2 linked regions of the Macaca fascicularis genome follow. The protein of the gene in region 2 purifies or fractionates together with the protein of the main gene of each other region. This does not show direct contact. Links are inferred from orthologs where the notes say so. Each region holds a gene or a part of one and is shown on either strand. Other genes may lie near its edges.

What was found.
Region 1: the proteins of UPF1 (region 2) and MAGOH purify together in Homo sapiens (affinity purification with western blotting; 3 studies listed by BioGRID and IntAct, with this or other methods). This does not show direct contact. The link is inferred for Macaca fascicularis from reciprocal best matches to the Homo sapiens genes UPF1 and MAGOH.

What each region holds. Positions count from the first base shown.
Region 1 is NC_088375.1:181,434,235-181,438,369, forward strand, and holds the start of MAGOH (protein mago nashi homolog), read left to right. Parts: upstream 1-1,320; 5' UTR 1,321-1,390; coding exon 1,391-1,478; intron 1,479-4,135. UniProt on the Homo sapiens protein: Required for pre-mRNA splicing as component of the spliceosome. Plays a redundant role with MAGOHB as core component of the exon junction complex (EJC) and in the nonsense-mediated decay (NMD) pathway.
Region 2 is NC_088393.1:19,255,451-19,259,093, reverse strand, and holds part of UPF1 (regulator of nonsense transcripts 1), read right to left. Parts: intron 3,334-3,643; coding exon 3,153-3,333; intron 1,614-3,152; coding exon 1,452-1,613; intron 808-1,451; coding exon 690-807; intron 542-689; coding exon 443-541; intron 1-442. UniProt on the Homo sapiens protein: RNA-dependent helicase required for nonsense-mediated decay (NMD) of aberrant mRNAs containing premature stop codons and modulates the expression level of normal mRNAs.

The sequences.
Region 1 (4,135 bases), on a different chromosome or scaffold from region 2:
TGGTGAAACCCTGTCTCTACTAAAAATACAAAAATTAGCTGGATGTGGTGGCACGTGCCTGTAATCTCAGCTACTTGGGAGGCTAAGGCAGGAGAATCACTTGAACCCAGGAGGTGGAGGTTGCGGTGAACTGAGAACCAGCCGTTGCACTCTAGCCTGGGCAACAAGAGCAAAACTCTGTCTCAAAAAAAAAAAAAAAGACTGGGGGTAGGAATCAGAGACTGCTGTCCCGACTTACAGAATCTTATACTGTTCTAGTTGCCAGGCCCCAAGAATGATGTCATCTCAGCACTGTCTCTAGAACCATTCATTCTCTCTAAGTGTGGAACTTAGACGAGTGAGAGCAGGCTCCTATTAAATAATTATGATCTTGATTGCTCTGGCCCTACTCAACTGTAAATTTTTTCCAGAGCCAGAATGGCTTCACAGAGGACAACTTTGCTCTGAAAAGAGTCTCTTTGGTCAGTGGTCCTCAACTGAGAGCTTTACAAAGAGTACCAATGCCCAGTTCCAGCGCTGGAGATTTTAATTGGCTTGGGGTAGAGCCCTGGCATCAGTATTTTTAGAGGCTCCCCAGGTAATTCCAATGTGCAGCCAGGCTGAGAATCACTGCTCGGTAAGTGGGATGACTGGGGAGTGGGAGATCAAATACTCTAACTTCTCACAGCACCTATTCTAGAGATCAGTGGGGCAGAAAGATAGAAATAAAAGGTGGAAAAGGACGAAATGGGTAAGTGTGGGTGAACTAGTTCCAGGGAAACGGCAATCTCCACTGTGGATTCAGGGAAGGCGTCACTGAGGAGGGCTTTCTTAACAGTTCAGGTCAACGGAAGCCATCTTGAGGCACACACATCGTGCGCGGCATCCTCCGGGAAGGTCGGGTCATTTCACCCCATTTTACTGCCGAGATGACCTAGGTCCAGAGACGGTAAAGAGCGGTGTACGACTCACACAAGTCGGGGGTCCTGTGAACTGAGGTTGAGCCTGGCGGGGGCAAGGCTCGGGGTGTTCGGTCCGAGATCTTTAAGCGAAGTCACCAGACCCCGCGTTCAAAGCCCAGAGGTAGGCAGGCGGCTGGCTCTCGGCCTCAGGCCGGGAGAGAACCCAGCGGGTACCAACCTCAACCTCGCTCCCGCGTCCAAGTGGAGAAGCGGAGCTGGTTGGCCCCGCCTCCGGGTTAAACAAAGTTCGTTACCTCCTAGGCGTGAGAGGGTGTGGCAGTCTTGTTGTCACTTCCGGGCGAATAGGTTAGCTAGAAGGAACCCCTCCATTACGCGACGGCGTAATCTGACGTCACTTCCGCGCGCCGCCGCAAACGTCAGTGTCGGGCGCAGACCGCAGCAGTGCGGCTTGCTGTTGGAAGTTCAGGCTCGGTTGTCTTTTGGGAGCCATGGAGAGTGACTTTTATCTGCGTTACTACGTGGGGCACAAGGGCAAATTCGGCCACGAGTTCCTGGAGTTTGAGTTCCGACCGGATGGTAAAAGCAGCCTGCCGCCCGCCCGGAGCGGGACCAGGCCTTGGGGCGGGCGAGTGGGGAGGCCGAGGGTCGGAAATCTGTGGGGAACTAGAGGAGGAAGGGGCTGAGACCTGTGCAGTGCGGATCTGAAAGGAGCGCCACTGTGTCTGCTCCACGGCGTCGTTTTATCCATACAACAAACGTTGGCTGAACGCCCACTGTGTGCCAGGCTCTGTTCCACTCTTTGGGGATACGACAGCGAAGATAGACAAACTTCCTCTCTCGTGGAACTTGTGTTTTACTGCTGGGAGAGAGATCATAAAAAGATGATTCCGGATAGCAGTGAGTGGTCAGAAAATATGGTAGAATCGCTGGATGGGCTGCTTTTAGATAGGTTGGCCATTAGAGAGCTCTAATGGTATATTGCAGCTGAGCCCTAATTAGCAAGAAGGACCCAGCCTTGTGAAGCTCACAAGGAAGACCATTCTACCCAAAGGGAATACCAGAAGTCAAGGCTGCAGGGCGGGAATGAGCTTAGGCATGTCTCAGGTGGTCAGTGTGATTGAAGAGTGGTGAGCTGGGAGATGGCAGGAGATGATGTCGGATAGGTAGTAGGAGCCGCACCTTGTAGATCTTTATAGACCAGGGTAAAGAGTTTGGACTTGGAAGGCTTTTTTAATTTTATTTATTTTTTTTTTTGAGACGGGTTTCGCTCTTTTTGCCCAGGCTGTAATGCTATGGCGCGATTTCGGATCATTGCAACCTCCGCCTCCCGAGTTAAAGCGATTCTCCTGCCTCAGCCTCCCGAGTAGCTGGTATTACAGACACCCACCACCACGCCCGGCTAATTTTGTATTTTTAGTAGAGACAGGGTTTCACCAGGTTGGCCAGGCTGGTCTCGAACTTCTGACCTCGGGCGATCCGCCGGCCTCGGTGTCCCAAAGTGCTGCGATTACAGGCGTGAGCCACCGCGCCTGGCCGGGCTTGGAAGGTTTTAAGCAGAGAAGAAATGTGATCTGTTCTTGAAAAAGCATTCTGGTTATTGGGTGCGGAATGGGCAACAGTGAAAACAGGGCTATTGATTAGGAGACTGTTGTCAAGACAAGAAAGATGTTGGGGGCCAGTCGCAGTGGCTCACGCCTGTAATCCCAGGACTTTGGGAGGCCGAGGTGTGCGGATAACTTGAGGTTAGGAGTTCGAGACCAGCCTGGCCAACATGGTGAAACCCCGCCTCTACTAAAAATACAAAAATTAGCCGGACGTGGTGGCAGATGCCTGTAATCCCAGCTGTTCGGGAGGCTGAGACAGGATAATCGCTTGAACCTGGGGCGGAGGTTGCAGTGAGCTGAGATAGTGCCAGTGTACTCCAGTCTGGGTGACAGAGCGAGACTGTGTCACAAAAAAAAAAAAAAAAAAGATGTCGGTTGGGACTACAGAGATAGTAGAAATGGAGAGAAAGATTTAGGAAACTGTTGGAGGCAGAATCAACTGGACTTTGATCGTTGATAGGATTTTTTTGGCGGAGGCACTGTGGTGAAGGAAAGAGGAATCAAAGATGACAGAAAACATCCATTAAGCGGGCCACAAAGATGTATCTGACAGGCCCCGACTGTGAGGGAGATGGATTTGTAAGCAGGGACCAAACAGCGTATTAGGTGTTGTGGTAAAAAGAAACAGAGGAGACTTGCAGCAGAGAAGGGGCACCTAGCCAAGCCTGAGGGTCAGAGGAGGCTTCCTACATAAAATGATGGGAGGAGGGGATGTGAGGTATTGATTAGGAGACCAAGAAGAGTCAAGAAGGCATTTTAGACAGCATGCAAAGAGGCTGAAAACCAAAAAGTGCTTGGGATGTTTCAGGCAGAAACCAAGTTGTTCGACTCCAGCTGTGTGAGAGAAGAATATTGCAGGAGTGAGGCTGGAAAAGCAGGCAGGGGCTTTGCTTAGCCGTATGCCATGTTGAGGAGTTTGGATTTTTTTTTTTTTTTTTTGAGATGGAGTCTTGCTCAGTTGCCCAGGCTGGAGTGCAGTGGCGCGATCTGGGTTCACTACAAGCTCCGCCTCCCGGGTTCACGCTATTCTCCTGCCTCAGCCTCCTAGGTAGCTGGGACTACAGGCGCCCGCCACCACGCCTGGCTAATTTTTTACATTTTTAGTAGAGACGGGGTTTCACCGTGTTAGCCAGGATGGTCTCGATCTCCTGACCTCGTGATCTGCCCGCCTCGGCCTCCCAAAGTGCTGGGATTACAGGCGTGAGCCACCGCGCCCGGCCGGATTTTAACCAGGAAGGCAGCGGAAAGCCATTGACTTTATCAAAGTATTAGAGTAACCTAATCTGATAGATCTGTTACCACATCACCTTGTCCACTATATGGACAGTGAACTGAATGTGAAGAAACTTGAGGCAGAGAGACAGCACAGAGACTGTTGGAATAAATTCACTGGGCTCATCTCACATGTATGTCTTCTAGTCTACATGTCTTCTGTTTCCTTCTATCTTCTCCTCATCCCCACCATGTATTCACATTAACCTGTTAGACGCACACATGGACAAAGGGTCTTGTGTACCAAATGTGCTCAGTGATAAAAGCAACAACTTTTCCATCACAGAAATAGAGTGTGGCACAGTCACATGATAATATATGTAAACAGCATCCTACAGTTTTCAAAATGTTTTCACA
Region 2 (3,643 bases):
CTGCTCCACTGTGGCCTGCAGGCTACGTCACCATGAGGTTACTGCACATTCCCAAACGTGGCCTGGGAGCAAGTGAGTGCTCACAGGGTCTGCATGTGACCACTGGCTTCTGGAACCTCCGTGTGCAGAGTCAGCATCCAGGTAAGGCGCTCCTGCAGCCACATTAACCTCCAGAGTCAGCCCAGGGACGCGTCACACAAGCAGCATCACCAATATCACCACCATTCGGGCAGAGGGGAAGCAACCATACAACCAGCTGTCCCAGAAGGTGAAGGCCCTGCAATTCTCCTAAGAGCAGTGGAGGCCAGTGCCAGCCAGCAACTACCACAGAGCACAAGATGCTGGCCCAGCGACGAGCATCAAATCCACGGTGGCCTCCATCTGATGCCCCACCACTTTCCTCTCCCACCAGCCAACCCCACCCTCTTCACATGAAGGATACTATCAGGGACCTTGATGACGTGGCCGATCCCTTTCCACAGGGGCGCAAGGTCCCCTTTGTACCGCAGGCATATCTCATCCCCCTGCATGAGCCGCATGTCTTGCGGTAAGAAAGTGAGAGAGGTGGCCATTTTAACCTGCGCCGTCACTTCCACCAGGAAGAGTTCAAATTAAGGGGCACTTTACAAGGGTGGAACTAGGAATTTTATGCTACTTATGGTCACAAATATTTTAAAACTTAAAATCACCTCTTAACCAAATTATGACTAAATCCTCATTACCAGAGTCAGTCTTGGGCAAAGTGAAGTAGGCGATTCTCTTCTTGTTAAGGCCCAGGTCCCACCTGACCGTGATGTTATCTTGAGTCTGAGCACATGAAAAACAAGAGCCCCGGTTAGCCTCCAGCACATGCCCGGGCCTGGCCTCCACATGCCCCAGGCCCCATGAGGCGGGCCCTACAGCAAGCCTCTGCCGTGACAGCGGGCGCCGTGAGCGGCACCTGACAGCCCCAAATGCCACCAAGGGCATATCTGAAAGAGAAGCCATTAGGAGTCCCCAGAACACACACAGGCCGATCCCGTCTGGAGGCTTCACCACACACCAGAGGCCTCCGTGGCCAGGGAGCAGCTGCTGCGGGAGGGAGGGAGAGAGAGAGGAGGGGAGGGAGGGAGGGGAGGTCAGAACTCCGGGGCTCCCGTTGCCTAAATGTGGTCTTCACAGGGATCACGCCCGAGTCTAACTCCTGCAGCTGTGGGCAAAGCTGTGGACCCCACTGGGAAAGATGTGTTGGATTTAAATAGAAAACACTGAGGCTGATGTCAGCTCTGAGGGCGGGGGCCCAGACCACCAGGCTGCCAGGCCTGGATCCACAAGCTCCAACTCTCAGGTGTTGCAGCTGCAGCCCACGTCAGCTCCCACAGCCTAGAGAGAAAACCTCCCTTTGGAAGCCTGAGGAAGAGAGCTGTGAGAGTCAGAGCCCAGCCCAGGCCAAGCCCTCCTGCACACATCACCTGGGACTCCTTCAGCTTCTTGTCATAGTCGGCCTCCAGCTTGACCAGGGGCCCGAATATGTTCTGGTACTGGTAGGCGTCCTCATACCGCAGGAGGACGTGCTGCGGTTCCTCGTCCACCCCCGGCTTCTCCAGGTCCTCCAGCGTGGCAGAAGGGTTTTCCTAGAAGACAACAACACTCGTCCTGTTTTTCCCTACATGCAAACGAACGAGGGTGCAGAGGCACCAGAGGGATGGAGCACACATGCCGCTTCTGAGAATGGGCCACAGTGGGTGGCATGGAGGGGTTCTGGTGCATCTGCAAGGAAAACCCTGGGAACAGGAACTCCATGCCACACTGGGAGCTGCACACCGGCCTAGCCCGTGCTTGGGCCTCAGCTGCTGCTCCTCACCCCAGCAGGGTTCCGGTACTTGGGTGAACCTGCCTACAGAGCCCCAGGCACCAGCCTGACACACTGTCCACAGCAGAGGGCACCTTCAAAGCTGCCTGCTTCCTCCAAGCACGCCCGGCTTGTGAACGAGAGCAGCTAACCCTCCTCGCAGGCTGCCACAAAGACCACCGGTTTCTCTCACTGTGTCCACAGCCCGGGAAGCCCGTCTCCCACGTCTGCTAACCCTAAGCCAGAACCAACATGGGCCCGCAGCTCTTCCCCTGGGGGCCAGCTCCCTCAGTGAGTGCCATGCTGGTGGGGACAGGACATTATCTGGACTGTTCAGATATAAACGGGAATCATGAAAATCATCTGGCAAACTGAAAATCCAAGTGGAAAGGTACTCGGCTGAACAATGCTTAAAAAATACTTTTTTTTTTTGAGACGGAGTCTTGCTTCGTCGCCCAGGCTGGAGTGCAATGGCGCGATCTTGGCTCACTGCAAGCTCCGCCTCCCGGGTTCACGCCATTCTCCTGCCTCAGCCTCCGAGTAGCTGGGACTACAGGCGCCCACCACCACGCCCTGCTAATTTTTTGTATTTTTAGTAGAGATGGGGTTTCACCATGTTAGCCAGGATGGTCTCGATCTCCTGACCTCGTGATCCGCCCACCTTAGCCTCCCAAAGTGCTGGGATTACAGGCGTGAGCCACCACGCCCGGCTTAAAAAACATTTTAACTTGTACTTCAGTTCCTATGTGAGATTTCTGATTGAATGGGAGGCAAATGGAAGCTTCTAGTCTAGTTACTAGAATGACTTTATCACAAAATCCTAAACAGCCGGAACCAGAGAAAGGCTTCCGTGGGGAAAAGTGAGGGCTGTCTGTTGAGGGAGGCCAGGCACCCACTACTTGACCCAGCACCCTCTCCTCTCCCCTCTGCTCAGCTGACTGTGCCAACCTCGACCCCAACCTCTTTCCCCAGGACACTCTCGCAGTGCACCTGTCTGTGCAGGTCCAGGCTCTGCCAGACAAGTCTACCTACAACCAGCCCCATCCTTCCCCTACCACCCCCCATCAGACAAGAAAAATTCCAGCAGCCAGAGCTTTCCTTTCCCCAAGGTCAGGCTCTTCTTGGTCAGGTAAGGCTGCCTGGATGGAAGGTGACCAAGGTGCCCTGCCCTGGGGTCACTCTACATAGAGGTGGCAGAGGCCTGAGTTCCTTCCAGAAAATCTCCAGCGGTCTCACTGGGTCAAGCCGTCTCTGAAGATACTCCCCTCCCCGCAACCAGAAACCACACGAAGGCACGGGTCAGCCTGCTGGGCAGCCCCACCTTCCATAGCTCCTCCAGCTTGTTGATCTGCTGTGCCGTGATCTGGCGCGCCCGCAGCTGCTCCTGCTCGGAGGGGATCTTGACCAGCCAGGACAGGAAGCAGCGGTCCTGGATCAGTGGCTGCCACTGCGAGCTGTCCCAGTTGATGTCCTTGAGGCTGCTCTGGCTGGCACAGGGCTGCCTGCGGAGTGGGAGGGGACCGTGAGGACCAGCTCCCCTCTCTGAAGTCCTGGAGCAGGGAGGGCCCCCTCCCATGCTGACCTTTCACCCAAAGGGGCGTGCCCTGAGTTTTATTATGTGATCACATTACCTTTAAACTGTTAGTAATAAATCGCATCTCCTCGTGCACTTGAGCTCTGAACTCTTAAAACTCAGAACAGACTTTGTTTTTACAGAATTGTTTTCATGATTTAGCCAGAACGCCCCAAAAGAGTTACACGGCACTGCCAACTCCTTAACAAGCCTCAGCCCCTAAACGCTCTCATGCCTCA